2 linked regions of the Rattus norvegicus genome follow. The protein of the gene in region 1 interacts with the protein of each later gene in a biochemical or structural test. Links are inferred from orthologs where the notes say so. Each region holds a gene or a part of one and is shown on either strand. Other genes may lie near its edges.

Evidence for each region.
Region 2: the proteins of Trim7 (region 1) and Rnf187 interact in a test that uses a peptide from one of them, tested with the Homo sapiens proteins (2 studies listed by BioGRID, with this or other methods). The link is inferred for Rattus norvegicus from reciprocal best matches to the Homo sapiens genes TRIM7 and RNF187.

Annotation. Positions count from the first base shown.
Region 1 is NC_086028.1:33,705,038-33,709,533, forward strand, and holds the start of Trim7 (E3 ubiquitin-protein ligase TRIM7), read left to right. Parts: upstream 1-1,576; 5' UTR 1,577-1,607; coding exon 1,608-2,126; intron 2,127-2,918; coding exon 2,919-3,014; intron 3,015-4,496. UniProt on the Homo sapiens protein: E3 ubiquitin-protein ligase that have both tumor-promoting and tumor-suppressing activities and functions in several biological processes including innate immunity, regulation of ferroptosis as well as cell proliferation and migration.
Region 2 is NC_086028.1:44,212,059-44,216,631, reverse strand, and holds the start of Rnf187 (E3 ubiquitin-protein ligase RNF187), read left to right. Parts: upstream 1-1,652; 5' UTR 1,653-1,729; coding exon 1,730-2,119; intron 2,120-3,280; coding exon 3,281-3,373; intron 3,374-4,573.

The sequences.
Region 1 (4,496 bases):
AGTGCCACCAGGCCCAGCAAATAACACAAGGTCTTTTTTTTTTTTTTTTTTTTTTTTTTTTTGGAAATATGGACCGCTTCACGAATTCATGTGTCATCCTAGCGCAGGGACAATGCTAATCTTCTCTGTATCGTTCCAATTTTAGTATATGTGCTGCTGAAGCGAGCACATAACACGAGGTCCTTGATGCCATTTCATTACTCTGAGTTCTTGGTGAACCAGAAGGGCCTTAGCTCCCCATCTACCGTTCCGTGCCTGCAATGTGGCATTCTTTAGTCCAGGGATTCACTTGTTTCTTCAACCGACTTAATGTTTTATCTTCAAAATAATTGTAGCTGAGTTTGCAGAAAATTTAACGTCCCATGGTGGAGGAGGAGAATCAAGCAAGAGCCATTACAAACAGGAGTCTTTCTGACACACAGGAATAGGAATATCAAGAAGACTCACAGGGTTGCATTGTGGTCAACACCAAAAGTCACAGGAGATGAGGACAGGGAGATGTGGGTAGGAGCTGGGTACAAAGAGCAGGCAGAGCCTTGAAGTTATTATTTCAATGTCTTTCCTGAGAGTTAGCAGCCACTGGTGGGGTCTGAACAGAGGGCTCTGATGGATACTGTGGAAAGATCAGCTCTGAAAGGGTTCTCTAAAGTCAAAAAGGTGGAAGCCATTATAGAATGTGGAGACTGAAGCCCAGGAACTGAAGCAGGGCAGGGAGCCGAGTGGGGAAACTATAGAACCTAAGAAGAAAGTGGGAGGCCATGGACTGGAGAGAAAGGGAGATTGTAGCATCCTGAGTGGGGAGGAGAAAATGCTGTGTGGAAGGACAGACACCAGAGAGATGAGGTCTGCAACTTTGGGTTAGAATTGGGTGCGTGGATGGTGACATTGACAAGAGAGGTTTTGAGAGGGGTAGAGGAGGAAGCTTGACCCTAGTGGCCTCCAGAAAGAAACGATAGAAAAACTACTCCGTGGAACCCAGCTGTGAGCCAGCAGGGGAGAGAGCCAGAGGGATTCCGGGTAGGTGTGGAACGACACTAAACGAAATGAGAAAAATGGCTGTATTACTTGTTCAAAATTAAAGGGAGAAGAACTGTAAGAGATGTAGTTACAAAAGTGGACAAAAGGCCAAGCTTAGGGTGAGGTGGTAGAGCCAAATTCCAGATCCTAAGTTTAGCTCAGCACAGTGCCAGAATGAGTTGGTATGCCGGAAACCAGACACCGCGCCCCGGGAGCCAGGCCTTTGCCCCTGTAGTGCAGGGTCAGCCTAGGTCGGCCACTGAGAGCGGTGCCCAACTGGTCTTGCACATTCACCTGTCTCCGACAGTTCCCTACTGCTGACTGGGCCATACTGGGCTGCCTCCAGAGGCAGTGGAAAGGGGGTCGACAAAAGGGAGATCGCGGACTAGGGTGATGGCTTTGGGAACCCAGAAAAAGGGCACCACCTGCCTCTATTCCCAGCTGGGTGCACCCTCGGCTCACGTCTCAACTTGCCCGCTGCCGGCCCTGCCCCTCCTCGCCCATTGGGTACTCGGAGCCCAGCCCAGCTTGGACCGTAGCATCCAGGGATCGCCCCAGCACCACAAGGCTCGGAAGTACCAAGGACACGGATGGCGACTGTGGGGCCGCGAACCGGGCCGAACTCAGGAGCGGAGGCTCTGGCGCTGGCGGCAGAGCTCCAAGGCGAGGCCACCTGCTCCATCTGCCTAGAGTTTTTCCGGGAACCGGTGTCGGTCGAGTGTGGCCACAGCTTCTGCCGCGCCTGCATCATGCGCTGCTGGGAGCGTCCGGGAGCTGGGACCGGCACGGTGACCCGCACGCTGCCCTGTCCACTGCCCTGCCCTCAGTGCCGCGAGCCCGCTCGCCCCAGCCAGCTGCGACCCAATAGGCAGCTGGCCGCGGTGGCCTCACTCCTCCGGCGCTTCAGCCTACCCCCCACGGTCCCCGGGGAGAGCGGGACCCCAGCGGTGGCTGCCCCGGCGGCGGCTGCGCGTTGTCCGCAGCACGGAGAGCAACTTAAGCTCTACTGCCAAGACGACGGGCGCGCCATTTGTGTGGTGTGCGACCGCGCCCGCGAGCACCGTTCGCACGCCGTGCTGCCGCTGGAGGAGGCAGTGCAGGAGGCCAAGGTGGGTGTAGGATGTCCCGGAGCTCTGGCTCTGCTCCAGCCCTCCCAGCTCTCCTTGCAGACTGCAGGCGGGGTCCTACAGAAGAGCCCCGTTCTCCTTTTTTCTCTTCCTAAACTGTGGTTTCCCCTCATCTCATCTCGTCCCTCAGAGCCTCATGCCTGGCTGCCTGGGAGACGTCCCCAGGGACTTGACATTTTCTGTCTGTCTCCAACCTCTGTGGTAACTCTGCCCAGGAGAAAGTCTCTGTCACGCCCACACATCCCTTCATTCCTGCAGCGTTCCCAGGGGCGTGGCACTACACAAAGTATTAAGCTCAAAGAGGAACATAGCGGGGTGTCTTGGATTAGGTGGTCTGTCGCAAGAGCTGTGAAGCCCGGGGGTTCTGGGCACTTTTGTCCCTCGCTGGGTAGAGGCACAAGAGGCGTGTGCAGCCCCCAGTCTTTGCTGTCCTGTCGTGCTCCAGTCCTCCTACAAGCATGCTTTCTGTTGCTTGAGAGAAGAGCTGAAGATAAGATGGACTGAAGCAATGTGGGAGTCTTGAGTTTGGGCGCAGATCACGTGGCTGATGCCCTTGAGGAAGCGAGACTCCTCCGGCCTTTGGAAATCTCCTGCATTTGCTCTGCACCGATAGGCTTAGTTTGCAAGGCTATGTTCATCCCACAGTCAGAGATGGTATCAATCCGGTCTCCTGCTCCGAGAGCAGAATCTTGGCTTTCTACTGGGCGGCTCTAAGAAGGTACATGATAGAGTACCCAGAATTTTCTGACCACCATGTCTTCCTTCATACCACAGGAGCTGCTGGATTCCAGGATGAAGGCCTTGAAGAAAGTACTGGAAGACTATGAAGCCTTCAGGTCAACAGAGGAGAGGGAGAGCAAGGAGCTTCTAGTGAGTCCAAGTGTGAAAGACATAGGTTGTGGATGCCCATGGCAGAGAGGGAGAGGGAGAGGGGAAGGGGGAAGAGAAGGGGAAGGGGAGAAGGAGGGGGATGCTCTCTGGGGGCCCATTTTCTAAGTCCTTCATATTCAAATAATCTTTAGGGTGCACAGTCATTCCTAACAAACCAGTTAGGACTTGTGGCCGCATCTTGTAATTGAATGCATTAGTATTTCTTCACAGAAACATGTCATGTTAAGTAGGAACACGATAAGGAACCACACATGAGCCTGAGGCATGTTTTGCCACAGAAAAAAAAAGGGGGCGGGGGTGGGGATGTTTTCTTTTCGGAGCTTTAATTTAAGAATTCGAGATTTGGGCCTGGAGAGAAGGTTCATCCGTTAAGAGCACTGACTGCTTTTCCATGGGTCCAAAGTTCAATTCCCAGCAACCACATGGTGGCTCACAATCATCTGTAATGGGATCCGATCCGATGTCCTCTTCTGGTGTGTCTGAAGGCAGCTACAGTGTTAGTATACATAAAGTTAAAGGAAAGGAAAAAAAAAAAATAGAGGTTCCTGGCTGGGCAGTGGTGGCACAGGCCTTTAATCCTAGTACATTGGAGGCGAGGCAGGCAGACCTCTGTGAGTTCCAGGCCAGCTTGGTCTTCAGAGTGAGCTCTAGGACAACCAACACTGCACAGAGAAACCCTTGGTGCTTAAAGGAGAAAACGCTGGTGCTGAGGAGGATCGGAGCTCTTCCTGGTAGAGGACTGTGGCTTGGGGACTTGTTTTGTTTACTATGGACAAACATGAATCACTGTCATTTTCTACCTCACAAATTCAGTTCTTAGCTCAATAAAAGGTGCTAGAAGAATGAAAGGAACCATTGGTGCCTTTTAAGGCAAAGTGATTTGTTTATGAAGCTGGGAATTAGAAAGCCTGGAGAACCGTCTTACTTTAAAAAAAAATCTATTTATTTGTGTTTCTATTGTTGGATGCATGTGCTGCTGTCTGCTTGTAAAGGTCTAAGGGCCATTTTGTGTCAGTTCCTGAACTCAAACTCGAGGTAAATTCTAGGGGTTGAACTGGGTTTATCCAACTAGCTTAAATCTATGGATTGAATTGCCAGACTTAGACCTGTTAAGGTATAGAAGCCCCAAACCCTTATTCTTTAGGTTGGGAAGGAGAAACTATGGAGCTCAGATACCCAAGCTCCTCTCTGGGCTCTTTGTGGTTGTTATTATTGGTGTTTGTCTGCTTGCTTGAGACAAGGTCTCTCTCTATAGTAAAGGACTTGCTACATAGACAAGGCTGGCCTCAAACCTACAGAGATCCACAAACCTCCTTAGTGCTGGATTGTGAGCCACCATGGCTGACTCTTCCCTTACTCTTTTCCATTTTTTTTTAAGGATAAATTTTATGTATAAGAATACACCGTAACAGGGCTGGGGATTTAGCTCAGTGGTAGAGTGCTTACCTAGGAAGCGCAAGG
Region 2 (4,573 bases), about 11 Mb from region 1:
AACAATTTCAGAACCATGTTGGATATGGCCACGGTCAGTTAGATGAGTGTGAAAGTGACTAATTACAACTGATTTTTAATTTAATTAATTTAAGTTAATTAATATATGCACACATGTCATATCTGTTGAAGAGGTTGGCTCTAAACCCCCAAGGATACTACAATTTAAGAACACTCAAATCCCTCAGATAAAATGTTTCTCATACACACACCACATCACACAGACACATAAACATTCTCTCTCTCACACATACACACATACACATTCTCATACACACACACACACGCACACACACACACACACACATTCTCTCTTTCACACACACACACAGAGACACACAAACCCACACATTCTTTGGAGACAGGGTCTTGCTATATAGCTCTGGCTGGCCTGGAACTCACAGAGATTTGCCAGCTCTATTTCCTGAATGCTGTGATTAAAAACATGTACCATTATACCCAGCTAAAACATAATATTTACATGCATCCTTTTATTTAATTTTTCTAGATGACTTATGATGCTTACCAGGATGTGAATACTCTGCAAATCTTCGTCCTGTTGTTTAGGAAATAATGACCAGAAAAGTGCTGCATAGCTTCAGTGTAGATGTGGCCGCTGTCACAGTGTTTGGAACATATAAGTGGCAACGTCACTGGCTTAGGGTTTCATTACTGTGAAGAGACACTATGGGCAATGTAGCTCTTATAAAAGATATTATATCGGGGCTGGCTTACATGTTCAGAGGTTCAGTCCATTATCATCAAGGCAGGAAGCATGACAGCATCTAGACAGACATGGTGCTGGAGAAGGAGCTGAGAGTTCTACATCTTTGATCCAAGGCAGCCATAAGACTGTTTCCGAGGCAGTTGGGAGGAAGGTCTCAAAGCCCCATCCCCACAGTGCCACACTTCCTCCAACAAGACCACACCTCCTAATAGTACCAATCCCTGGGCCAAGCATATTCAAACCATTGCAATCACATTCACAGTATATTTTCCATCTCAATTTGAAGAGTCATAAATTGTGCATAGCTGACTACACCTACATTAATACAATATGCTTTAGCGTGCTTTCCTGCAAAATGTGCTGCTATTCTGTGTGCACATTGAGCATTCCTTCCTTCATTCTGTGTCGCTCGCTATGTTCTTTAATTTGGTCATACTCTTGCTTAAACTACATAGGCATCGGTCTACTTCTGTTTTATCTAGCTTCAGGGCTAAAGGTATAGAATAAGTCAATCACCCTAGAAAAGCCTTTCCTAACAGACCACCTCCCAAATTATCTGTGGGAGATGGGCAATTATCTATGATGTTGGGACAGTACTCTGCAGTATGAGTAATCTCACAGAACACAAGAGAGTATGCTTGTGAGGATCTGGGTTTGGAGTCCACGACTGACACCATCAGGACAAAGAGGTGAGCAGCTACCAGAACCAGGGTGGAAGACAGCGCAGCAGCTCAGACTTGGGCAGGGCCACGAGCGACTACCAGGATCTGAATGGAGAGAGCACAGCTGCCAGGACCTGGATGGAAGAACGCGCAACTGCCAGGACCTGGACGTCAGAGCGCACGGCAGCCAGGACCCCGCCCCGCCGCGCGCGCGTGCCCGGCGTTGGCGCAGTCTGGGGCTGAGTCGTCGGCTGAGGCTCGTCGGCCTTGCTCTCTGGCCGGTCCTCGGCCCTTCTGCGCCCTCTCTGCCCGCGTCCTCGTCGGCGCCGCCGCCCGCAGCCCTGGCGCTCCCCGCGGGCCCCGCTGAGGCCATCTGCGCCTTGTGTCAGCGCGCGCCCCGCGAACCGGTGCGCGCTGACTGCGGCCATCGTTTCTGCCGGGCGTGCGTGGTGCGCTTCTGGGCCGAGGAGGACGGGCCCTTCCCATGCCCCGAGTGTGCCGATGACTGCTGGCAGCGCGCGGTAGAGCCCAGCCGCCCACCACTGAGCCGCCGCCTCTTGGCGCTCGAGGAGGCGGCCGCGGCGCCGGCGCGCGATGGCCCTGCTAGCGAGGCCGCGTTGCAGCTGCTATGCCGTGCCGACGGAGATCCGCTGTGCTCTGCTTGCCGCATGGCCGCCGGTCCGGAGCCGCCTGAGTGGGAACCGCGTTGGAGGAAGGCGCTGCGTGGCAAGGTGCGCGAGGCGGCCCCGCACACTGTCAATCTTTGTGCCCTACCTGGAGTCAGTCTCTTGATCAGTGTGCTGACCTCCTCTTCCCTTTCTCCTCTCCCGCATCCCTCGGGTGCTCAGCACCCTCCGTTCCCCGGGGACGCTGCCATGCCTAGGACTCTTGAATCCTGGAGTCCGTGAATTCTCCCTTCCTCCATCTCTATTATCGGTCTCCCGGACCCTGCTGTTTTCCTCGATCTATTATCTCTAGAGCATGCTTTTCTATCCCCTTTTCATCCCAGGTCTGTGGGCTAGCTGTGCCTTATCTCTATACAACCATTAGACTTTGATCTTTCTCGATTCTTCTCAAGTCCCAATCCCATTCCTCAAGGCCTCTTCATCCAACCTGGGTGTGACCTCATCGGGGCAAGCCCCGCCCATCCACTTGCTTGTGGAGACCTGAGAGTGGGCTTCTATCTGCTAGTTACTATTTGCAGCCCTTTGAGGGGCTGTCGGTCCACCTCATTCTGGAACCTTCTCTGCTGTGCTCTCTTGGTCATTGCATGTGGTACCTGCCACTGGGCAGAAACCAGCCATTAGAATGTGTTTGAAGCTGGGTCGCAGGGATCTGGAGTATCATCACTGATCCAGAGAGGGATGATAACTCAAAAAAAACCCAAAGCCTTTCTGAGTATCGAGGTAGAAAAGCAGTGGTCCCTGTCGGACAGGAGGAACTAGTAGCTTAGTGTGTCTGAGGGTGCTGTTAGCCCTATGTTCTGGAATGATGCACCATGAGTCTATGGAATAGGTTGTGAAGAACACTTTTGAGATGGAGGCCAGTGTTAATCTCGGCCCCAGACTGGGGTAGGTCCTCTGGAGAACAGTTTGTTGTCTCCTTACTAAGACAGCAATCTCCACAGAGTCCAAGAAGGACACAGAGAAGTCAGGAAAGCCACTGTCTTAAATCAAGCCGACCCCAAAGGGGACCTACCTGAAAACCTGGAAGCATATAGGCAATCTTGAATTGTCTGCTGCACACCTAGTTCTGATGAGGCGGGAAGCACAGGAGACCTTTTTAGAAAGCAGCCATTTTCCAGCAGAGAGCGGGCGAGTAGTTCCGGTGGCCAGACTGCTGTTCTGGGTGTCCAAATCCTTCCCAGCCTCCAACCAGCTTCTCTCTCCCAGGAGAACAAGGGCTCTGTGGAAATCATGAGGAAGGACTTAAATGATGCCCGGGACCTGCATGGTCAGGCAGAATCCGCTGCTGCTGTGTGGAAGGTAAGTGGGCTCTCCTGGGTATTGGGAACTAGCAGGGCAACCAAACTGAGCTGCTGGGGTTTGCCTGGCTGGCTGGACAGAGTGACAGTAGGGAGCCTCTTTTCTGTGTGCTTTTCATAAGGATGATTTGTAAGGGTCAGCTTCCTGTTCTACACAGGACGTGTTCTCGAACTCTAGATTCTGACCAGCCCCAGCTGTTACCAGCAGAACATGCAGTTTTCTGGCTGTCACACAAAACCACAGGCAAGCCATCGAAAGTCCAAGTCAGGGCTAGTTTCCCGTGGCCTTTCTCGGTGTATTAGCACATGGAGAGTGGGGCAGGAGCTCTTTGAGGGTCCCCTTTACTAGGGCACTGATCCACATCTACTTTGGTGGGACTAACCACGTCCCAAAGGCCGACCACTTCACACATTAGCACCATGGCCTAGAGGTTTTAGCACAGAGCGTTAGGGAACAAACAAGGCTGATGCTCAGCAGCTGGCCTACATCGGCTGCCATCCATGGCATTGAACACGAGGACGACATGTTACAGTTGGTTTTTTAAGGTTACTTGTCGATAAAAACACACAGTTTAAACTCTGGCAACTTTTCCTTTTATATATTAAAGTTGATTATAGTTCCCCTCCCCCCATTCTTTTTTTTAACATAAAACCAAAGTGTTTTTGTGGACTACAAAAACCCCAAAGCTCTCAGATGGCCCTCACCTTAAGGCTAAAGGCACCTGCCCTACCCCTTAAAAAATAGGAAGGCATCGAGGACACCTAGTTTTGTAGGAGCCCACAGTAATTCCAAGGACAGATTCTAGCAGATAGAGGTTTTTAATACGAAGACGGGGATCCTGTAGTCAGAGGGAGGAGCTTGGCCAGACAGCAGTCATCTGGCTGGCATTTATATCCTTTCAGCAAAAGCATTCTTCCCTCAGGAACATGTTGTGAGGTCCAGGATCAGAGGAAGATCTGAGTGCGGTTAGGAGTGTCCTTTTCTAGTCCTGCTATCTAGGTTAGGCTGCTGGAATTGTAGCTGAGGGAGGCAGAATGGAGTTTTGCTCTCAGGTTTACCACAGGTTATAGTAGGAAGAATGGCTGGTTTAAGGTAGCGAGGTGTTCTGACAGGACTTTAGTCCCAGAGACCAGCTTTGGGAAGCTGTGAGTGGGGTCTTCTCATTAGCTGAGCATTGTATATGTGGGTTGTATGTCTGAG